Linked DNA regions of Arabidopsis thaliana. Each later gene encodes a partner of the first gene's protein in a complex. Each region holds a gene or a part of one and is shown on either strand. Other genes may lie near its edges. The genes, in order: SWP, AT5G05140, AT3G10820 and MED31.

The links.
Region 2: SWP (region 1) and AT5G05140 share a complex: the UniProt entries of both Arabidopsis thaliana proteins name them as parts of the mediator complex.
Region 3: SWP (region 1) and AT3G10820 share a complex: the UniProt entries of both Arabidopsis thaliana proteins name them as parts of the mediator complex.
Region 4: SWP (region 1) and MED31 share a complex: the UniProt entries of both Arabidopsis thaliana proteins name them as parts of the mediator complex.

Annotation. Positions count from the first base shown.
Region 1 is NC_003074.8:1,292,018-1,299,797, reverse strand, and holds the start of SWP (RNA polymerase II transcription mediator), read right to left. Parts: upstream 6,001-7,780; 5' UTR 5,762-6,000; coding exon 5,552-5,761; intron 4,995-5,551; coding exon 3,969-4,994; intron 3,554-3,968; coding exon 3,456-3,553; intron 3,380-3,455; coding exon 3,205-3,379; intron 3,127-3,204; coding exon 2,370-3,126; intron 2,286-2,369; coding exon 1,270-2,285; intron 1,165-1,269; coding exon 137-1,164; intron 45-136; coding exon 1-44. Other genes in the region: RALFL21 (RALF-like 21), read left to right, coding at 7,073-7,390. UniProt on the Arabidopsis thaliana protein: Component of the Mediator complex, a coactivator involved in the regulated transcription of nearly all RNA polymerase II-dependent genes.
Region 2 is NC_003076.8:1,517,906-1,523,650, reverse strand, and holds AT5G05140 (Transcription elongation factor (TFIIS) family protein), read right to left. Parts: upstream 3,947-5,745; 5' UTR 3,299-3,946; coding exon 2,837-3,298; intron 2,749-2,836; coding exon 2,680-2,748; intron 2,600-2,679; coding exon 2,517-2,599; intron 2,423-2,516; coding exon 2,370-2,422; intron 2,254-2,369; coding exon 2,104-2,253; intron 2,019-2,103; coding exon 1,726-2,018; intron 1,644-1,725; coding exon 1,562-1,643; intron 1,473-1,561; coding exon 1,354-1,472; 3' UTR 514-1,353; downstream 1-513. UniProt on the Arabidopsis thaliana protein: Component of the Mediator complex, a coactivator involved in the regulated transcription of nearly all RNA polymerase II-dependent genes.
Region 3 is NC_003074.8:3,385,514-3,391,544, reverse strand, and holds AT3G10820 (Transcription elongation factor (TFIIS) family protein), read right to left. Parts: upstream 4,346-6,031; 5' UTR 4,188-4,345; coding exon 3,819-4,187; intron 3,708-3,818; coding exon 3,639-3,707; intron 3,526-3,638; coding exon 3,443-3,525; intron 3,146-3,442; coding exon 3,093-3,145; intron 3,015-3,092; coding exon 2,893-3,014; intron 2,781-2,892; coding exon 2,753-2,780; intron 2,669-2,752; coding exon 2,385-2,668; intron 2,301-2,384; coding exon 2,219-2,300; intron 2,135-2,218; coding exon 2,041-2,134; coding exon of another isoform or gene 2,040-2,040; exon of another isoform or gene 1,917-2,039; coding exon 1,883-1,916; exon of another isoform or gene 1,637-1,882; coding exon 1,569-1,636; intron 1,393-1,568; exon of another isoform or gene 1,309-1,392; coding exon 852-1,308; 3' UTR 542-851; downstream 1-541. Other genes in the region: AT3G10840 (alpha/beta-Hydrolases superfamily protein), read left to right, coding at 109-338; AT3G10815 (RING/U-box superfamily protein), read left to right, coding at 5,937-6,031. UniProt on the Arabidopsis thaliana protein: Component of the Mediator complex, a coactivator involved in the regulated transcription of nearly all RNA polymerase II-dependent genes.
Region 4 is NC_003076.8:6,730,699-6,734,546, forward strand, and holds MED31 (SOH1 family protein), read right to left. Parts: upstream 2,293-3,848; 5' UTR 2,124-2,292; coding exon 2,074-2,123; intron 1,995-2,073; coding exon 1,897-1,994; intron 1,773-1,896; coding exon 1,676-1,772; intron 1,582-1,675; coding exon 1,503-1,581; intron 1,438-1,502; coding exon 1,348-1,437; intron 1,170-1,347; coding exon 916-1,169; intron 799-915; coding exon 786-798; 3' UTR 538-785; downstream 1-537. Other genes in the region: AT5G19920 (Transducin/WD40 repeat-like superfamily protein), read right to left, coding at 2,924-3,242, 3,326-3,696. UniProt on the Arabidopsis thaliana protein: Component of the Mediator complex, a coactivator involved in the regulated transcription of nearly all RNA polymerase II-dependent genes.

The DNA.
Region 1 (7,780 bases):
GAAGGAGCTGAACTCTATGGACACTCACCGCAAACACATAGCCACTGCAAAAACAAAAACAACAAAAAAACAAAACAATAGATAAGCTTAAGCATAATCCTTCAAGATTGAGCATAAGTTTCTTGGTTTGGCTTACCCGACAAAGAAGCGTAAGGCTGGTTGTTCTTGGTCTAAATTCAAGAGAGCGCCTTCGTTATCCTTCAAGATGGAACCCAAGATCTCTCTTAAGAGATCTGGTAACTGAGCAAATAGCCACAGTACTCCAAGATATTTAAGGATACCACGCAAAACCTTTTTAAGAGCCACAAGAGGAACCCATCCTCCGCCATAGCCACCGTCATCACCTAAACCGATTATCGCTGTGTTTAATTCACCTCTTACATGCGCTGGTACAGCAGTGCCTGGTGTTCTACGCACAGGCAATCCTGAGCTAACCACTAAAGATCCTGAAGCAACACTGGCTACTCGATTCATTGCAGCTCTTGCACTAGAAGGGGAAAAGTTAACTCTGTTCACACCGTTAACAGTTGGGTTTCCACTGTTGGGATTTGTTGCTCCTTGGCTACCTGTCAAATTTGGTTCTAAACCGTTCAATTCTTGAGCAACATGCTCCATGATGAAAGGTCTGAATTGGGGACATGGCAAGGAGCCTCCAATAGAAGCACCACCCTTGGGTGGAGTTGCTGGCTGCAACCAGACTTGATCTCCAGCAAAACATCTCATGTCTACTGCAAAACGTTTACGGTATATGATCCTTATCCAATAGGGTCCACGGAGTACTACAGAGACATCGATGGGCAAGAGAGAGCTTGGAACGATGCCAGGTCCGCTTCTCCCTGCAGCTGCTAGCATTGCAACTCCATGGAAACCTCCACCAAGTGGGCTTGGAGCAGAAGAAGCAACAGTATTTCCTGAAGTTGCTGAGGCAGACTGGCCAGTAGCATTAGGAGCTGCTAAAGTTGAAGGGGCAATGATTCCTTGAGTTTGTTGTATCTGATTTGATTGTCTTGAAGACGCTGTAGCAGGTACAACAGGCATGCCAGTGGCAGTACTAGCTCGGGCAGGGCGAGTAGCGGCAGCTAATGCATGCAAAGGCCCAGCAGTAAGGCGAATGCAATCCAAAAGGGATTCTACCTCTGCTCCGTTTATGAAATCCTCCAAGAACTGTACAAGAGTAACTCACGATGAGAAAAAGCATATATTTGGAACTCTTATAATAAAAATATTTCCCATGAAGAGAGCAAATGTTAAGTCCTGCGAACTACTCACCTTTGTATGTGGCCATAGTTGGTCAGGAGAGACATGCATGGTGCATCCATCTTTACCTGATTCCCACTCGACAACAAAACGCGCCAAAACGCCTGAACCAAAGCTAAACCACAGGCTTGTTAATCCCACAGCCTCAATCTTGAAAGCTCTCCACCTATCTACTGGCTCACCACTGCCTTTTCCTCCAGTAGATCCTTTCATAGTGGAATTAGCACTGCACTCTTCTGTTTTTTCATCTGGCTTTATGCCAAGTAGTTTCCGCATACCAAGGGAGAACATTCTAGCATTTGAAAGCCTTTGTATGTCGGCCACAAGCTTCTTTATACTATCGGCTTCCACAGACTGATAGCTCAGAACAACACCTTCAGGGTCATAACGGATATGAGAATCAACATCAGATGAATTCGCAATGTGAACTCCAGAACCCCATGGTGTGGTTTTACTTCCCTTTTGAAGTTCCCAGAGATCCCTAAAGTGTTGGTCATTTATTTTCACATCCCAACACATGCTTCCAGGTCTACCAAGCTGCAAGCATATATGTTGCCAGGAATCATTTTGAGCAAATGGAAGCCTGAACCATATATCTGAAAATGCATCTCTTAGTCCCATTTCCTCAACATATTGAATATCCAATGCCTCCATCTGACTAGTTAGTTTGGCATGCTTTATGGACAACGAAGAATGCCTGACCACATGGAGAAGAGCATAAACAAAAACGCTTGAAGGTGCATTCCCCTTGTTTGCTTCAGCTATGAGATTCCCATAGCTGCATCCTATAGTTTTTGTTGATGTTGACACGGCAGTGGATAAGGTCTGTGATGCAGGGCTCCAACTCTTCACTAATTCACTCTGTACCAGTTCAGAGGTTTTTCTTCTCTTATTGGGACTAGCAACACCTTCCACTACCTGGAGGGATGGGATCAATCTTAGCAAATCTGAAGCTGAACGTTTCCGGGGCTTCTGATCTTTCCTTAACAAAGGACCAGCAGATGATGTTGCAAGATCAGCTGTTTGAGCTGCAAATAACGGAAATTTTTGAATTCTAATATTGAGAAAGTTCTATGAAGGTAAAAAAAAAGGCTATGGAAAAATGTTCTTACATAGGGGAAGAGGTGACAATGAGGATTCAGTGACCAGTCTAGAGCCTGACTCAGAGACTCCATTCCCAGTAGAGAGGGATGGAGACAGTATCAGGGATAACTCCTGGTCAGAGTTAGAGATGGCTATCTTCTTCATAGCTGAACCCTTCCCAGGGGGAGATGATAACATATTATAAGAGCTAGATTGTAAGGGACCCTGTCGATTATACAAGGAATCTGAATGATAGCTAGTCAACATTGGAGCTTTTCCATGGCCGGTAACAGCAGAGAGATTTTTGGGAACTAAACCATGTCCATCAATTGACATAAGAGCAGATGTCACTTTCTGAAGTCCAAACACTCCATCTACGACACTAGAGAAACTCAACTGGCTTCCACTCATTTCTGTCAAAGCCTCGTCAACCAATCCAGGCTGACGGTGTCCAGATGCTTGATTTATGCCCTCAGCATCCGAGAATGAAGATACAAATTTAACCACATCGGATGTAATCAAGTTAAGATCATCTTCGAGAATCCGTATCTGCCCTATATCAATTTTCTTAGCTCGCAAAATATTGCTTGGATCATTGAAAGACTGAGGTTTTCCCGAACCATCCATCTGAGTTTCCAGTAATTTAAACAATGGTGTGAAGTCCTTTTCGAGCTCCATTAGCAAAAGGTGAGAGCTTTCACAGTCAGGGAATCCCAAAGTCAGAATGCTTGACCCATCCAAGAGGCTTTTAGGAACTTTGTTTATACCAAAACCATGTTCATAGACCTGCATTAAACGCAAACGTCAACACTCCCAACTCCAGAGAGTGAATTTGAACAACAAGCTGAGGCAAACAATTACTACCTCAAGACCCAAAAATTTGCCAATAGCAGCAAAAAAATGCAAAATACTTTTGCTTCTCAAGTTGATAAAGGCATCAACTGCAGATATACTTCCTTGGTTTAACGCATCTTCAAATTCCTCCAAGATGGAGGAGGTCAAGATACTCTTGGATGACTGTAGAAGAAACCGACCAGTCCTGCAATCAATAACATATAGTGAGAATAGTCAGCTAAAATAAGATCTCTCCCAATACATAGATGAAGATATCATACCTTATATTTATCCCCAGTGTGAAAAATGAAGATCCATAGGCTCGCACTCGTAAGACCTCTGGCTCTACTCGCTCTTTAGAGTCTACCATGTTATCTCCCTAAAAGAATGGCGAAAGAGAAAATGATCCAATTAAATTCAATTAGTTGTTGAGACAGCAAGAGAAATATGGCCTAACTATACTAGCTCCCCAGCCAAAAGAAGCTAGGCAATAGGCCATGTGAACTGCAAAAATTAAACTACTTTTTCGAAAAAATATAAATTATCGAAACCTAGGTTCGGCCATCTCTGAAATTTAAATTTGCGATTATTAATGCTTAATCTCATGGTCTATAGCATGAAAGCTATGCATTATTTAGCAAGGGCTATGTGTCATAAACAGAAATCTATCTATTGACATGCAAGTGACATACTAAATGTCCAACTAGTGTAAGTAGCTCTGACCTGGGAAAAAGTCCTACAACTTTCAAGGAACAAAATATTCAACATTAAGCCGAAAACAACTCTTTCTTTACCTCAATACCAGGCTCATCCAGGAGGGCTTGAAGGATCACATCACTTGGAGTTCGACAAATACGAGTATTCCTCAAAAGCTCTTTCTGAATTTCAAGAAGACGGGTATATCTATTACAGCATATAGCTTTAAGCAGAAGCTTCTCCACGTCAATGCAGCTCTGGTCGAGAGAAAACTCAGCTTCCTTGCCAGTAAGTGGGTCAATTACAAATGTGCTGTGAGAACATTTAATCTGGAGATCTGACCCTGGTTCAATTTTAATAAATGGGCCAGAATTTTTATCAGAATCTGACCAGTAAAAAAGTTTCATTCCTGGCGTTCGAAGACTAACAGAATCTGCCTCTCCTTCTTGGTTCGCTGGTGTGGTACCAGTATCTGAAATTAAGTCGAAGCGAATTGCATCTTTCCATCTCCCCTGCAGAAGAGCTCGGACCTGTCTTATGACTGTGTCCATGACAATGGCAACGCACAGCTCATGGAGCACCGCATATAAAATTGTGAATGGATTTTCTGCCACGGACATTCGACGCTCTAAATCATCTCCAAGGATATGCCGTCTTGTCACTTCAAGTTTAATGGGGCCACTTCTTTCACCAACAAGTAGATCCAAATGCAATATCCGCCACATGGATAGGTGCCCTCGGTAACCAAGAGTAACAAGAACTTTAAATTCCCCATCGACAGATAAGGTAACTGTACCTTTAGAAATTTTCACCTCTGTTATTTCTTTTGGAAGTGTGATTTCAAGCAGTTTGGAACGTACAAGTACCTCCAGCTTTCTTAGAGCTGGTTTCTGTTGATGCTCATCCAAAGAGCTCTGCATGCCCACATCATCTAGACACTTTGGCAGGCGCTGATAAGAACCTGTCAGCAAAATCTCAACAGCAGAGGGAACGTCATAGACAGGAGCGCGAGCTTGCTGTAGACCTTCATGCATAAAAAACAGCGAATCCGCAGCTTGTGTGAAGCATATGTCATGAGCTGATAATGTACTCCCAAGGTCTTGAAAGTAGTTTATAAGAGGAACCTGCAGCCCAGGAGGTTTAGCCAAAAATGAATAAATAGCTCAATAAATTTTCGAATACTTACTCTGTAAAGAAAGTGAACACAAGCAAGCATCAACAATCTATGAAATCATAATTTTTTAAAATGGAACGTTGATCTGAAGTAAACTACCTTGAATTTTTACAGAGACACTACAGTCATAAATTTCTTAAAATATGCAGAAATAACAGAAGTACATGATAACATTGATAAGCCTACTTGGAATGTGAAGTTCCATGGAATTTAAGAGACAAATCTAAACTTTAGTAGACAAGCAACGTAATCCAAACAACAAAAACCCATCAAGGACAAGATCACACAAAAGGATCTTCCAATTCCATTCAAAGTCTGTAAATCATCCTACAAACATCAAAACTATATCCACGGGAAATGTGTTTAAAACTAATAGATCATGCAATCAACAAAACCAAACCCTAATCTTGCAACATATCCAATTCCAGTCCAAGAAAGCTTCAAACTTTCACTTCGACCCACAGACCCAAAACGTTAATACTTAGCGAGAAACAGAGAAAGACAAACCTGTTTACACCACTTGGCGAGGGCATTGAGGCGGAGCATCCGTTGCTGAGTCTTAGCGACATACTTAAGGAGGCTAACCTTCTTCTCAGTATCAGAAAGCTCCGTCGACTTAGACTTATCCACAAGTTCCTTAAAAGAAAGGAACGATTCCTCTGCGGCTCGACCAACAAGAGCAGAGAAATCCACCGTCTGTTGCCCTAATTCCGCCATCGCGGAGAAAGAAACAAAATCGCCACCACCCGATTCAGAAACTTAGGAGATCTCACGATTCGTAAAAAATTAGGGTTCTTATCCTCCGCTTCCCCCACCACGACGACAAAAGCACAAAGCTTCCCTTTTCCAGCAACCGGATTTGATTCGGACAAGAGAGACAGAGAAAAAGGGTTTAAAATTGAAAGGGGTCAGGGAAGAGTCGAACGCAAAACGTTGAACGGAAGATGAAAAAAAAAAAAAAAAAAACGATTTTTGGAGAAATCGGCTGAAGAAGCCTTTTTTTTTAACAGACGGCAAAATCTAATTTTTGTGTGGGGTCTCTCTTTTATCCACGTAAGCAAGTAAGTCACTATTAAATTATTAATTAGACATTTTAACCATCATTAAAAAGGTTAATTACAAAATTATCATTAATGTACACTACACTCTTAAGTAGAAGATGTGTGATGTATTAATGTATATATGGTGAATAGTGTGTATAACAATTGGACGGTGAAAACGTTGTTCCGAGTTCCGACAATAAACGGTGAATAGTAATACTGTAATAGTGTATAACAATTTTTCATAAGGAACCACAAGAAACACTTATTTGAGATTTTGGTACGAGGTTTATTTTTCTATGAAGCAATAGTAATACTGTAATAGTGTAACGCATGTAGGAGTAGCAAGGCCTTCTCACTTGTCCAACTAATTTATGTTGGGCGGCAAATAAAGAACCAGCATGAATTTTTATATATACTTTGAACCCAATACCAAAAAGCCCAGCGATGTGTTCATTCTAATAGTTGTCTACAACCAATTTTGACACACTATTTTGGTGTATTTATAATTATTATTAGTTTATGATATTTGCATATTATTGATGTAAAAAAATTTCTGTAAGAAAAAAGTGCTTTGTTTTCACCTCCATGTACTGGAAGAACATGAAACCTAATATATTGATATACTATATTAGAGTACATAGAACTCTTTGACCAAAAAAAAAAGAGTACATAGAACTCAAATATTGTTGACTACTTTGGCTATAAAACTGTTTTGTATTAGTATTACTATGACCACAACATGCATATCTAAAAGCTAGTTTGACTACTTTGGCTAAAAAAGGACTATATCTATAATACATGTATTACTAAAGAATTCTGTAGGTACATTTTCTACCGGTCAATTCAACATCCTATTGTAATTTCCTTTTAAGTAAAAGTTGTATAAGACTCTTTCACAATTATTTATTCACTATAAATACCACGAACTGTACCATTCTTACCAACAAATATATATTTCTCCCACACACATAAATAAACACAAATCATGAGCAATATGAAAATAACAAATAGGTTTATGCTAGTGGCAACATTCATAGCATGTGTGTTCATAAGCAGCATGAACATGACGGTTGGAAAAGTAATTGGGTATCCAGGGTTGAAGCCTGATCTTCCTTGTGATCATCATCGGTATCCTTCTGCATGTGCACCCTCCGAACAACCAGTGAATCCTTACAGACGGGGATGTAGTAAAATACATAGATGTAGACGCGATTCACCCCCTGCACCAATTTCTAGAAAAATGTTAATACGAGGTCAATTAATTTATAATAATGCATATAATGCATATATCCAATATCCATGAATAATAAATTTATGGGTTTGGTTGTGTTTAAGCCATGTTGTTCTCTACATCTACACATTTACCTTAATATTTTTCAGCATGTATTATTGTATTACGATATATACAGTGGTGAAATCTTGTTTTATCATTCAGTTTTGTTCGATTTAAGCTCCTTCTTATTAATGGTAAAATAAAACAAATCAGATCACATATATTCATAGCATTTAAGGACCTAGTGTGTCACACGTGTGAACCTGTAATGTTTGTTATACACAACAAGACAATGATTTTTGACTGGGCCCAGCCCACACGAGGGTCCTAACATCTCTCAACAGGGTTGGTGTTTTTGGGCCCAGGTGGACCCTTTTATCTCATTCTCCTCCTCCTCCTCACGTTTATATGAAATTTTTC
Region 2 (5,745 bases), on another chromosome or scaffold:
ATGTAATGGATATAGGTCAATTTATTCATTGCATATTGATTATAAATGAGATTTTTTATATTCTTAAAATAGTATGAATTAGACATTTTGTAGTGATATTTCCAACAACAAAAAAAGATCTCATAATTTTGTTAAAAAAAAAAAAACTAAAGACATTTCGCTGCATCAATAGTAAGATTTAAGTTCTAGAGCTTTTGGAATTGCAGTTTTTTGTTTAGTTTAAAGTTTTGAGATTATGAGTTAATGTTTTAAATTTTGAAACTTACTAAATGTTAAATGTCATTTCAGTTTTTGTACACAGACAACAATATTTTTTGTATTTTCACATGCTCAACTTTTTTTTTCTCTCACATGCTAAAGTTTACAAAAATAACCAACACATCCATACGAATTTACCATCACGCCAAAAATCATTACGTTTGTTTTTGTCCAAAAGTGTTTGGGTGTACTTATTTAATCAAACTAAAAAGTGCATTTTCCTTTTCACGAAATAAAATCGTGACCATAAAACTAGATTTATCTCTATCCAACTGTTTTTCTTTCAATAGAAATGGAGTGAAAGATTAATAGAAGTTGTAGAAGTCCACGTGGTTCATGTGGTGAAATGCGTGAACGCGTAACGCCGAGATAATAACAACATTGAATAAAAAATACCAACACGCACAAAGACCACACTGCAACAACATTCCTATCCATCCACGTTATCTCCCACCCCCCACTACCTTCTCCTCTTTTCTTATCCACCCACCTTCCTTAAGCCTTTCCAATGCCATCTTATTTTATATACATAAGTAATAAGAAATGACAACATTCGGTCACAATCACATTCATTCATAACAATTGGATATCATTATATAAATATTTATTTATTTGGAAAAAAGTGTCATCATCTCTATATTGTGTCCCAAATCATTTCACATTACTATACAAAGTTAGGTGAAGAGCCGGTCAATTTCGAATGAGCTTTTCTACCCTCTCTTTTACTATTTTTATATGATATATATGTAAAAGGGACCTCTCTCCTTGTCCCAAAACCGAACATAACCCGACTAAACCGGGACTGTACCGAAAGTCTCAAGAATGTAGTAAAGAACACATAAAAGAAACAATAATTGGTATCCCTATCTTGCTGCAATTGGTGAATCCAAGACAGAACAAAACAGAGGAGTAAACAGTTTGTTCAAAGTAAAGTTATGTTGGATTCTGTTCCTTCTCCTCTGCTTGTTTCTGTCTCCAGCTTTGTGGAACTAGACTCTGTTTACCTTTATTGCACCAGAGATTGCGAGATATGTGTGGTAAGTATGGAGTAATATCTTTTGCCGAGAATTATTCACCATTTGAACAAAGCAGAAACTATTTTCTCCCATTAGCCCAATTCCTGTTGCTCATTCCAGGTCTCTTGAGTTGCGGTTTCTGAGCACTACCTTGCTTTGGGATCATCTCAAGTACTTGTATCGTTCGCTGCTTCTTGGCTGTGGCAAGATCACAAACATTTTTAAGTTCTTTTGTTTTCAAGAATGTAACAAAAAACTCGAAACAAAAGAAAGGAAATGAAACGAACCATTCTCGTGATGCTGGTAGCTTTCTTGAAGTTTCCTCTTTGCAAACTCAAACTTTGCGTCTGCATCAAGACCTTTAAGTTTCTGCAAGGGACAAGAGCAAAAACACCATCAATTCTACGTCCAAGAATAGGATATTAGACAAGAGCTTTGTCTCCACACTCACTTCTTGTTGAGGTCCAGGAGCTTTCCGCTTCTGTTCTGTAACAACCGGTTTCCTTTGGATCATGGGTTTTTCAGACTTGTGAACAGATACCGTTTCGTTCTTCATCCTTTGCTCTGTACTTTGCTTTACAGGTCTTCTAGTCCCATCAAAATCAGTAGCTGATGATGGCTTAATAGATCTAAAAGGAGCATCTTGTATCCTCATTTGTGTTCCCTCAGGTTTTCTCTTGGCGATATTTTGTGGCCTTCTTTCATGCTCTCGGCTTGTGTTGTGTTCTTCAGAGTTACGAGGATCTGAAACAAACATCCCCAAGAAAATCAATCAACACGTAGCTAAGAACATGTTCTCAAACAAACAAGACATAGTTTTAAAACTCACTTCCATCAAAGTCCAAGGAATCAAAGAAGTGTGAGATTTCAAATCCGTTTGGTTCAGGTGTAAAGATATCAACATCATATGGAAGCGATGGAAACGCCTCTTCTTCATCAAGGACAGACGGGTTTGCAGACTCTGGTGTACCTTCAGCACCTGTTTTAAACACAAAATTAGAACCAAAGACTATGGATCTAATTCAAGAAACCAAACGGTAAGACACGAAGCCAGTCATAAAAGATCGAAAAGCGAGACAGAGAAAGCGCAATTACCAGTGATTTCCTTTGTGGTATTCACCCATTGATCCACCAACTCCTTCCATTCTCTGCATAAACATATCAAAAACTCAAATGTGAGATTCAAAAGTGCAAAAGCATAGCAAATGTCAATCAAACTTGTGAAAGATCAAAAACTCATACGCGATAAGAGTCTTAGCGAGTTGTCGAATCTTATCAGAAGAATGTTTCCTGAGGCCATTAACAGCCTTTCCAATCTCAGTACTCTGCGAGAATAACCGCAAACCTTAAGAATCTCAAGGATCATCAACAACAACTTCATACACTATCCACCAAGATAACCAACCTTAAGAATATCCACATTCAAAGACATCAACTTAAGATGTCTTAAAGAATCGAGTAACACCGAGTTTGGCTGCAAGAGAATACAAAAAAGAACCAATCAGAAAACACAAAAAAAAAATCTTCACATTGATGAAATTTCAAGAACTTGAGAATCAAACCTCATCTTCTTTGTTGAGCAAGATCTCTTTGATCCTAGCAACCTCCTTAGAAACCACAGAAAACTCTTCAATCTCATCACTCAAAGCCTCAGCTTCATCAAATGTATAATTGCTAACAATCTGATTATTATCCCCTCTGCTACTATTAGCTTTGCTCTCTTTACTACCACCAGCAACCTCATAATCTTCATCAACCGCCGTACCACCACCACCATTTCCGGTGGTTCCACGGTTAGCCTCGTCGTCTCCGGGAACAGACAATTCAAGATGGTCGCATCCGACGCAACGATTCACTCTACAGGAGAATAAAAGCTCGGCGATTTTGTCTCTTCTGGATTTGAATTTGTTAGGACAATCAGTAGCAGCCACCATGATCGCATGATCGATGATCCCGAATATATCGGAATCTCCTCGCCGTCGGAAATATTCTCTCCAGCTATCTAATGAACCCGATGCTTTCATCGTTTCTCGATTCAACAAAATCGGAGTCTAATTAACTCAAGAATTTGATTTTTTCCCCAGAAAATTTGAAGAAGAAGCAAAATAGATTTCCAGAAGAAGAAGATTGGGATCGTTGAAGATTGAAGAATTCGAAAAGAGAAGATCAGAAAATATCGAATCTACGACAGAAGATTTACTTACCAAAAAAAGATCAATCAAACTTAAAGGTTGAGACTTTGAAGATTGTTTTGTTCTCAATCAAAATATGATCAAAAACGAAAAGGATTTGTGATCAAAAGAATCTATAGAGAGAGAGATAAACACAAAATCTGTTTGGTAAGTTTTTATTAATTTATTTTTTTTGGTACCTTTCCGAATCTGACAAGAAAACTTTCCCGGAAAGCCCAGAAAGGATTTTCCCGAGAAAAAAATGCACCGCAGCAAAGATGAGAAAGAAGGAGGAAACCCAAAAAAGCAAAAGAGAGAATACAGACAGAACATGAAACAGTTTTGGTTACGTTGTCTATCTAAAACCCAAGTGCTACTACGTTAAACACAGCTACAAATTCAATTCAACAAGAAACCTTTTTATTAATTCAGAAAGAGAAATAATGAAATTTATTTATTTCCTCTGATTGAAGTCTCTCTGTATATCTGTTTGGTAAAAGAGATTTTATTTTTATTTTAAGTTGGATTTTCTTTACGGCTTTCTTTTGACCTGATCGGTCTGTTTTGGCTTTTCATTATTATTATAAAAACACATTATTCTTTTTTTCCTCACACATGCGTTGTACTTGAACGACGACACAAGTTAAGTGATTACAAGGTCAAACTCTTTTTTTTTTTTTTGGGTCATAAATCTTTTTTACGTTGGAAAATGTCAAAAGTAAATTCTACTAAGAGTGTTTAGTTAGTTATACGGACTTTAATGAGAAGCTCTGAAGAAGAGATATTTATTTCCTAATGCTGCTGATCAAAAGCGTTTATCTTCTAGTCAAAGAGTGATATATTAGAATATTTGGTAAATCCGATTCAAAACAATAGTTTCATGTTTTAACAGTTAACACTATCATTTCATTTTATTTTGTTTTATAAGAAATTGGATTAGGTACTTTAATTTGTTCAGATTTGTAAGACAGAGAAACAAGTATTTCTTTGTTTACAATGTTTTAAAAATATCTAACAAAAAAGTTGTTTTATTTTTTTTGTATCCCTTTGTACTTTGGATTAGGTACAAAATGACTCACAATGTTTTAACCTCGTTACCCTCACAGCTTTTTCATTAATTCATCGACTATTTTTTCATAACCCATACTTGTTAAGGCCATTAGGGCATCTCCATCCATGAAAAACCCACAAAGTTTTTCAAACAAAAAAAATATTAATATTATATTATAATTTGATTATTTGATTAAAAAAATATTTTTGTTAAAAAATTAAACCAATAGTAAGATGATAATTGTCATGATGGGTTGTAGAGACTATCTCAGAGTTTCTCAAGTGAGAAACTTTCTACACTCTCTCTCCTTCATTTTCATTATTTTTATTTTTTTAATTGTGAGAAACTCTTATGAGATACTCCCAATAGAGATGGTCTTAGATATGTAGTTTATTTACAATTTATCAATTGTAAATAAAAGTTACAACTCTTCACTTATACTCATAATGTTCCGGTACAATCCAACCAAACCTTAACTTAGATCATATTTATTTTAGAGAATTTACCAAAAAAAGACATAGCATGATAGCATCATGTCATCAATCATCATACATTGTCTTATTTTTGTTGTTGTTGAAAAAAAAAAAAATCAACTGTTTTTCTTTGTATTTGCATTTTCGTTTATGTTTACATGTTCCAAAATGATACCACAATCATAACTGTTTTAATTCAAAGTAAGAACTTTGTTTTGTGTTTACAAAGTTATAAAATAAGTTGGACTATTAAACTTAGCTTGATTTGTTAGAGCAACAACAGAAAATAGAAGAAGAAAAGGAAGTTTCTGTTTGTGGAATGAGAAGCATGTATTAAATGTTGGTCAACAAAATCGACCCCTAAAAATATTATAATTTGATTTTATGTTAATACGTGACAAAACGAAGTCGTACGATTTGGGACGGTGGTGATTACCAATCAGAATTTACTCACCTTCAAACGCGTGAAAAACACTGGGACTCCTTTGAGTGCTAACCTCACGGGCTTGTCACAGCCACGTTTACGTGACAGACTTTGATTGGCCGACACGTCAGCAGATATAGTGGCTGCTTTACGGTGTTTTAGTGGACCTACTTGAAGAAAATGGTGCGTGTTTTGTATACAAGAGATAAGAAATCCATCTACCACGGACGGTCTCATTACAATTTTTTTATTATCTGAATAACCAATTATAGATATAACACCTAATGTATTTTGCTAGAAGTCGACAAAAAAAAATTAGACTGGAGTTGGAAAGAAAAATTAGAATTTTTTA
Region 3 (6,031 bases), 2.1 Mb from region 1:
TCTTTCTATAAGATTCTGACAATGAATTAGAAATTGGAACCAAATATTGTGCATTGTATGTCTGAACTCTGAACCAATGACATCATACTATCTTCATGTTTCTAATAGTTCTGATTGTGACGGGAGATACGGACCGTATTGTGCCAGCATGGAACGCAGAGAGGCTGGCACGAGCCATACCGGGATCAGTGTTCGAAGTAATTAAGAAATGTGGTCATCTTCCTCAAGAGGAAAAACCAGATGAATTCATATCTATTGTTGCAAAGTTTCTAGGGAATGCTTTTGGAGGGTCACAACAACAAGACGTGGACTTGAAGTTCCAAGGCATTGTATCATGAAGTATAACTATATATTTTAGCTCAATCAAGACTAAATTTTAGAGAGATTCTTCATGTTATTGGACCTGAAGAAACAAATGTCGACAATATCAAAGACTAGATAGATATAGAATAAAATAACCGAGAGACATTGATTCTTCAACAGATTGATATATAAGCGAGAATAATACACCATGTGGTGCTTCTTGCGAGTGCGGGCAAGTTTTGCAGAGTCCAGTTGATTAGCTTGGAGCTTGAAGCTGGCTTGAAGCTCCAACTCGTCAAGCCAACGCAAAGTTTCTGGAAGAACAAAGTCGGCAACATTTTGAAACTCAAAGCGAGGGGTGCAAAGGACTGTGCAGTCTTCCTCAGCCAAGAGGGCGACATGCTTCTTGTTCGTCAGAGTAGCAGCAGTCTCATCTTCCAGATTCTTCTCATTCGCCTGAGCCATGTACTGCCTGAACTTTTCGAGATAAGCCAAACTAGGGGCGCATCTCATTGCAATAGTAAACATGTAACCAAGAGCATCCACTTTCAGGCGCTTGCACTTGTCCAGTGAATCACAATCTCATGCGGATACTGTGAATCAGTTTCCTTGCATATAGCAACTTGTTGGCGAGCAAGAGACAAGTGAGTAGGATCAAATCGCTGATAGAGGAGGCCACCGGGATGAGTTCGATTGCGGGGAGGAAACTCTCTAGAAACCTTAGAGAGCATATGCATAAAGGTTTTCCCTACGCACCTAACCGTCTCGACGGAAGTCTTATGGATAAGGTCAAACTTAGGGCAAGCCTTGGCCTCGAACCTGACAAAGAGTGATCTCGTAAGGTCCTTGAGAGAAACAGATACGATGGCATCAACAAAATCCTTTTCAGTTAGAAGGACACTCATCTTCTTGAAAATCATCATCTCATCCACCATCTCTGCTTTATCTATCTGCACAAGTACGAGTCCAAAATATACAGGAATATCAATCATCAACTCATCATGTCTACATATGCAGCTAAATTTCAATTCTATGCAATGCAAACAGAGACCATTGTTTTACCAAACCTATGCTCTCACTTATGTTTATCAATAAAGGCCACAAAATTAGGGCTTTTCGATTTCCAATCAAAGACTTTCGGTTGTATCCCCGACGTACAAAATCTAGGCCAGAATTCTTAACAGCTCAACGTTTAACCCATCAGGTTTATCGATAACTAGCACTAGGAAAACAAAATTTACAACAAGGAAAATTGAAGTAGGTACCTTGAGAATTGGGAGGAACTATCACGAGGATTCGCGAGATTGAGGATGAGGGAAGGTAACTCGTAACCCTAGGAATTTATCACTCTGTTATATTTCACCTCATAAGTGATATTAAAAATTACAAAATCTTTGTATAAACAGATTTAAAAAGTTTGCTTGCCTCGCAAGTTAGGTTTAGGGATGGTCAAATACGAGAAGCCCTTTTGTCCTAATAATTTTCTTTTTTATTTTCATAATGAAACATGAAGAAAGTGAAAAAGGGATTTTCCCTTGTCACAATTATGAGGTTCTATTGTCACAAAACCGGACCAAACCGGGAATTCACTGGACCAGAAGTACCAATAAATACTGGGACAAAAGAATAGAGCATCCTAAGAAGTTTATGTTGGATCTGTCAATGCACTTTTGTTGTATATTAACGCCTCTGAATGGTCGTAGTAATTGTATAGATCATCCGAAGGAAAAAATGGACTATCTTCGTGTGGCGGGTCTCTTGAGTTGCGGTTTCTGAACTTTATTTTGCTTTGGGATAGTTTCCAGTACTTGTATCGTCCTCTGTCTCTTAGCTGTTCAAAAACAAATGGGTCATTAAGAATTAGGTGTATTGTAATAGTGGAAATATTGAAATCTCTTAAGACGATTTGACTAACCATTCTCATGTTGGTGGTAGCTCTCTTGGAGTTTCCGCTTTGCAAACTCAAACTTTGAGTCTGGATCCAGAGCTTTGAGTTTCTGAACAAAGACAAGAACACTTGCTATTAGAAACAAAACAGATTAATAATCAAACACCACGGCTTTATTAACTCAAACACTCACATCTTGTTGAGGTCCAGCAAGTTTCCGCTTTTGCTCAGTAACAGCAGTTGGTTTTCGTTGGATTGCGGATACCATTTGTTCTCTACTTTGCTTTGTTTGTCTTTTAGGCTCGACAACATCTGTGGCTGAGTGCTTCATAGGTCTAACATCAGCTTCTTCTCTCCTCGTCTGTTGATCATTGCAGTACCTCCCAACCACATTTGCATCATTTGTTCCCTTGGGTCTCCTCCCCGCACTACTTTGCGATTTTCTTTCATGTTTGGACTCCACACTGTGACGAGGATCTGAAAACAGTGGCCACCATGAGTGTCAAAATATAGGAAAACTTTCAAGTAGAGAACAGAGTACCAAAGAGTATACTAACTCACTTCCATCGCAGTCCAAACAATCTAAGATCTTCAAGTGACCCAAGACATTATGAAACAAGGACGAGGGAGGAAACTTGTCAGGATAACATTTCGTCTATGCCAGAAATAAAATATGATGAGAGGGAAAAATGTTAATAGACCTGAGAAAGTTCAAACCCATTAGGTTCAGGTGCATAGATATCTAAATCATGTGGAGGAGAAGGAAAGGCTTCTTCTTCATCAATTACTGAAAGGTTTAGAGACTCTGGCGTCCCTTCAGTGCCTGCAAGACCCAATTACTATAAATCTAGACCAAAACCTGCTCGCACTGACTACGGAACAGGAGGAGAGAGCTATTTACCAGCCATTTCCTCTGGGGTGTTCATCCACTGGTCCACCAGCCTCTTCCACTCTCTGTGCATCCCATATATAAAAACACAATCTTTATACTCGGGAGCCAGAAAGTAAGGAAGAGTAAAATGTTCTAAGTATTGAGCTAACACAAGAGCAGCTCCCTAATGATCAACCAAGGCTTTTATAATGACATTTTACAATTTGAGACATCCTACAAGGCAACTGGTTTGCATCTAAATCAAACCGTGGAGGTTCAATTTTTTTGGAACATTTTGCCAAAGTTTAATTCACATCACAGATGCGAGAGTATGAGAACAAATGAAACTAAGCACACAATGAGAATGATGAAACTCATACGCGAAAAGAGTCTTTGCAAGTTTGCTAATCTTATCGGAACTATGTCTCCTCAGACCATTAACAGCCTTTCCAATTTCAGTATCCTGCAAGAACGTAAACACTTAAATCACTCCACAGCCTCGAAAAGCTCCATCAGAATAAGCAACTTCCACTACACCAAATCATACAATATCAAAACAACACCAAAAAAACAAACCTTAAGAATGTCCACACTCATAGACATTGACTCAAGCTTTCTCAGAGATTCGAGTAACACAGAATCTTTCTGCAAAAAAGATGACAGAAACCAAAAACTCAACAATCAACACAAAGATTCCAAATTTAACCAATGAATTAGCACAAGTTTTAATGTAATCCAAGCAAAGAGACTAAAAACCTCATCGTCTTTGTTCGACAAGATATCTCTGATCCTCATAACCTCATCAACACTCACAGACGCCTCTTCACCTTCACCCGTCGCAACACCAGAATCACCCCTATCACCGCCGCCGCCAACTCCAACTATCTCCACCGCCGCTTCGTCTCCAGCTATCGAGAGCTCAAGGTGGTCACAACCAATGCAGCGACTCACTTTACAAGAGAAGAGAAGCTCAGCAATTCTATCACTCCTGGATTTAAACTCCTTTGGCCAATCTGCAGCAGCTACCATAATCGCATGATCAATGATACCAAAAATATCAGAATCTCCTCGCCGGAAATACTCTCTCCAAGTATCCAACGAAACAGATGGTCTCATCTTCGCCATCACGAAACGGCGAGGGAAAATCGATTCCGGAATCCGAATTCCTCGATCTGCAAAACCCTAATTAAATTTGAATTTAGGTTTTTGAATACGAATCAATATAGTACTAGTTGTGTAGTTTTTTTTTTTTTTAAGTTTCTCTGCAGGAAATAAAATTCGCCTGAGAATCTGACAAAAGTTTCTGCAGAAAGTCCACAAGAACTTTCCCGAGAAAACTTAAAGAAACAGAGCTTGAGCCAATTAAAAGAGGGCAAGAGAAGAAGACCCTAGAATTTTAAAAAGCCAGAAATTTATGTCGACATTAAAAAACTTAGGTTATAAAAAAAAATGGTAATAGTTTTGATCATTTATCTTGATAACTCATCTGTTTTATTTAAGTAAAATATTGAATTTGTCAATATATATATTAATTCTAAAGATATAGGCTTATGATTAACTGAATGATTATTTAGTTAATAGTAAATTAGTAATAACTAGACTATACATGTGTCGTCCTATATGACATAATGACCCTTGATGAAAAACACGTCACATGGCCTAGCTAGTATAAAGATGGGATATTCGTTTTTTTAAAGTTATGTTATCAACATTACATTCAGAGCATACTGTAATAGTAAATTATTAACACATTACACATGTCCTGATACCAACAATGGGGTACTCATTTTTCAAAGTTATGGATAATTACATTTATCACGTGAATTACTTGAAAGGTAATCTAAATAAACGCGTTTTTGGTGTCGCAATTATGTCGTTTTAAAAAGCATTGTTCATAGTCCCACAGATGTTTAGCACTATTTTTTAATTAGTACTAGTATTAAATTATTATTTTTGTATTTTTTTCATTAAATTTCTCGTTAGTTTCGTGCTTTGACTCTTTTGTTAAGCTTCAGCCACATGTTCCCGTTGTTGAAGCTGTCTTTTGAAGTTTCGTCGTCGATATCATCCTCGACTCTATTTTCAGTTGCGTTAAAGACTTCTCTTCTTCCAAAAGTTTCCTTTTCTTCTATTTTAAATATTCTTTCAGCACTTGGAGATTCACAAGTTTGTCGGATCAATCCATTTTAACTCCGGTAAGCCATACTTGCATGATTCGTTTTGTTTCCACCGATCACATGTTATCGTTTATGCTCCATAGCTTAATCTTTGACTCATTCATGATCTTTTTTTGGTTTAATGTTAAAACCCATGCATGATCTTGTTTCTGCATATTTTTGTTTTGGTTCAGTGTAAAAATTTCTGCATAATTTTGGTTCTACAAAAATAGCTACTATGCAAAAGCAAGATCACGGGGTCAAAGATTAAGCTATGGAGCTTAAACACTACTTGTATTTGACTATTTGTTTCTACGTCATTTGCGTTTGATTTGAATCTAAAGGCCTTTTAATCGATTTCTTGTCATGTGTTTGTAAGGGTTCAGTGTTTTATGTATCTTTCAAATTGTGCTTCTAGTGTATCCATTTTGGATTTGTGAAAGTTGTTTAGGGCTTATATATCTAAAATTGTAAAACCTATTTTAAATTAATATAACAAAACAGTTTCGGACTTTTAACTCATAATATCTCTTCGAATTTAGTTCATTTTCCAACTTTGAAATTCGTTGGCTTGTGATCTTGAAGCCTTGTTCCGTCCGGAATTTATGTTACTTAGTCACCAGTAGAGTTACAAACGATGAGTTATTTTAATCTTTTTTCTAAAAGGTCCTTGACAATGGTTTGACGAGAAAAAATCGTTTTTCCTTTTTGCAGATCCATGACTACGACTAGGCGGAAAAATACACATTGGTGTCATACTTGTAGACGAGGAATCCATCTTCAAGGAGAAGGCAGAAGAGAAGGAGCTTGCAT
Region 4 (3,848 bases), on another chromosome or scaffold:
GGTAACTATGTTTTTTGCCTCTTTTTTTCTCTTGATGATGGTATTTTAATTATAATTTTAGAGAAAAGTGGACTATTTCCAAAATTTGGTTTTGATTGCAATCACACATTAGCCCCAAAATTTGGACTATATTAACAAACCTCCCTATAATTAATCATTCAATGGAGAAGAATCTCAACATTTTAAGGTATCAAAGTCATTTCTAATCCATAAGTGTTCATGTTCTTCTTTTATTCATATCCTTGAGTTATGCTATTTTCTTCTCCTTTCTTGAACCGTGAGTTACGTTATACGAGTTTCATCACATATCAAGTTTCGTATACCATGGTCCATAGCACACTCTGTCATGTTTGGGTCTTCTAACTGTTGTCAAAGATACGTCAAAGAGTCATTTCGTACAATTTCCACCAACAAGTGCAACATGGAAACCCCACTCCTAATTAATGTTTTACCGGCAGAAGCAATCTCTGCCAAGGACAAATGTTTGGCATTCCCATAATTTTTCCTATTGCTTCTAAGCTTCTCAAAAAAAATAAAGTGTTGCAATTGTCAAGATCGATAGGAACAAAGATAAAGACTGATACTGATTGGGGGTTGTTGTATATCATAGACAAAGATTGAACACCATATATGACAACTTCCATAAACGGCCTATGACACGGAATGAGTAATACCGAGTTTCCAACATTTTTGTAACCTGAGTCAAGTAGGCTTCCCTCCTAGGACATGGAGGAAACCATATCTGACGACTGACGCCATGGTGTATGCTTCAGGGCAGGAAATGCTTATATACCCTTCCTGACATTATATGACTCACATATTAGAGTGTTGCTTTTTTTCGTAACACATTTGCAGTCATCTTAAAAACACACACAAAATGGTCATCATTATCAAGAAGAAGAAAGGAGCACATACTTTCTCTTCCTACGATCAATTCCAGTAGCACCCATATTCCTAGTGTCATTCTTAGAAAGCATATTATTGTACTGCATTGGAGAAAGGGCTGGAGAGAGAGCAGCAGTTGCAGATGGTGCAGGTGGCAAAGAAGTTGAAGGTGCAACTGGTGGTTGTGGAGGTACAGGCTCTGGAAGAGGCCGAGGTAGAATGTGCTTCAGTCTGTTGTTTCTGTAGTTCTTCCAATAGTAAAACTGTTGTCTATGCGCCAATTCCTGGAAAAATCCAGATTCAACCGAAGACAAAGTTCAAAACTTAAGAAAACTTCAACAACAATAGATTTCCTATAAGAAATTCTGACAAAGGACATAAAGTTTAGAATATTAAACAACTTTCTCTATCTCATGAATAGATGGGCATAAACGCAGAATCACAGAACCAAACTAGCAGAACGTAAGCAAGGTTTTGTACTAGAGAGACCCTAAACTCTACAAGTCCCCAAAACACATTCCAAAAACACCAGTACCCTAACATTTTGAACCACTCCCTATTCACAATGCTCACTAACATGCTGATTTCACTTGATGATTCATATCGTATTCTTGTACCTTGTTTGCAGGATGAGCCATAGCAGTCCTGAAGTTGGGGTTTTGAAGAAGTTCAAGGAAATATAGGCAGTGTGGGTACCTGTAACAAGAACATAGGAAACCAAAGATATATTATCCAAACCTTCACAAGACTCTACAAGACTACACCAATTCCATAAGATATTCCAACTTACATAATGAACTTGATGTACTCTGGTCGCTGCCAGTATTGAAGATACTTCAAGTATCCAATAAATGCTTCATCTTCAAAATACCGATTCTGTGCCAGGTCTGCCAAACAGTAACCAAAAGCAGAATGTGGTAAGTACAAACCCTAAGCCTTAGAACAAATCCCTTTTTAAATCTCAATTTCGAACACTAAAACCCTAAGCCATAGAACGAATTCTAAACTTACAGTGGATGTAAGTAGGATTGGCGAGACATTGAATAAATTCAAGTTCCAGTAAGAATCGTTGCCTTCCACCGTCGGGATCCTTGTAAGTGTTTTTTGGCCTGTAGAGATGCGAATTAGATAATAAAAGAGCAGATTTGAAGAATATGAAAGTGTACAAGAGGAAGAAGATGCACTCACGGGGATGGAATTTCTGATGCATCATCACCCATCTCCTCTGGCGAAGCCATGAACGAACGGAACCTGAAGCAAATTTGGATTCTCCCAATAGAGGAATCAGACGGAGGTAGACGGAGGATTTTGGTTCTGATTTCTGAATTGAATTTTGGTTATAAACCAAAGGCCTAAACCGGTTCTGAATGCAAATAGAAAAAGAGATTGGAAAATTAGTACAAAATTACGGTTTAAGAAGCGGTCTTTTTTTTTTTTTTTCCACAAGAAGCGGTCTTAAAAGAACCGTTATACTCGGTAGCAGATGGAGAAGTCTCTGCCCAAACTTGGAGTTACTTTACATTCAAAGATTCACTTGGTGGCATTTTTAGTCATGTTATGAATCTCTTTCTTACTTATCTCAAGATTATGAATCACAAGGACAAATCTTGAATTTTGAAACATGGACCGGAATCTTTATGCAATCATACAAAAGTTTTTTTGTGACCAATCGATATAGATGTTGCAACTCTTTGTCATGCTAACTATGGTTGAGGATTATAGCAGACAGAAAATCTGAGGACATTTGGCTCCAATGAGTTGGCCCTCAAAAATGTATACTGTACATTGTAATGTTGTAATCCCCGCAAAATGTGACAGCTAAAAAGCTAGAGTTTCCCACAGTTAAAAAAAAAAATCAAAAGACAAGAGCCATCAGACCCTGGACTGACCTATGCAACTCCCAAGACAGTTTTCGTATCCAGCCTGCGTGCTGTACTCAGTTCTTACTTGCCAATCAACACCTTGTGCCAACTTGCCAAGACAAGTTCTGTTTCAGAAGTTAATGGCCTTCAAATTCAGGTGATGGCTTTACAAGTTTTCACCATAGCTTGTGAATCCCAATTGCTAAATCTGATGAGATGGAGACGAGCAGCGGATAAGAAGAGTGCCACTCGGCTTTGAACACTCTTTTCTTATGAGCTTTCATCGAGAGAGACGGGCTCGGTGCATTGTATCGGATATCAAAGATGTGGATCACGGGGTCTGCAGAACCAGATGAGATGTGTAAACCATCTGGAGACCAAGACTGATTAATTAGAGCCGACTGCGATTCACTGCTTTCTTGCTTCCACCCAAAAGAAAATAGTTCTGTCTGAGGCAATCTAACATCATACAACCGCAGTTGCCGGTCTAGCTGCCTGCAAACACAACACAAGCAAAAGAACGGACTTTAAGGCAATCGCTTCTTCTGGGATATATATAAATCAAGAGTCAGTTTTACCTCGTGTTAACCATGACAAGATTAACATCTCGCGGGTTTGGCATTATATTTGTGCATCTGTTGTCTAGTCTATGTTTAAATGTGACTTTTTCTTCTCGGGCATCAAACCCAACAAATCTCCTATCGTCTCCACATGACAAGACGTGATTGTTATGGCGCATTCCAGTAACTCCCATCACAGCCGACGAATGCAAGTCCCTATGCAGAAGCGTCGGCTTCCACGCATTATTCTCACACTGATCCCGCCATAACACTACTGCATGGTCACTCCCACCTGTGATGAAGCAAGGATCATCCCAAGGCGTAAACATGATTCTGTTGATAAGACCTTTGCTATGAGGCCTGTCCTCCATAAATTGCGACTCACATCTCTGCAGATGAACAGATATCCAAAAAGAAATGAGCACATAACTAACTTCCCCAAGGATAAAAGACTATAACCATCAAGTTAGATCTTACAACTAGTAGATAAGTCAAGGGTCGAATCAAATTCCCAATTATTCCAGCTATATTGATTTTTTTC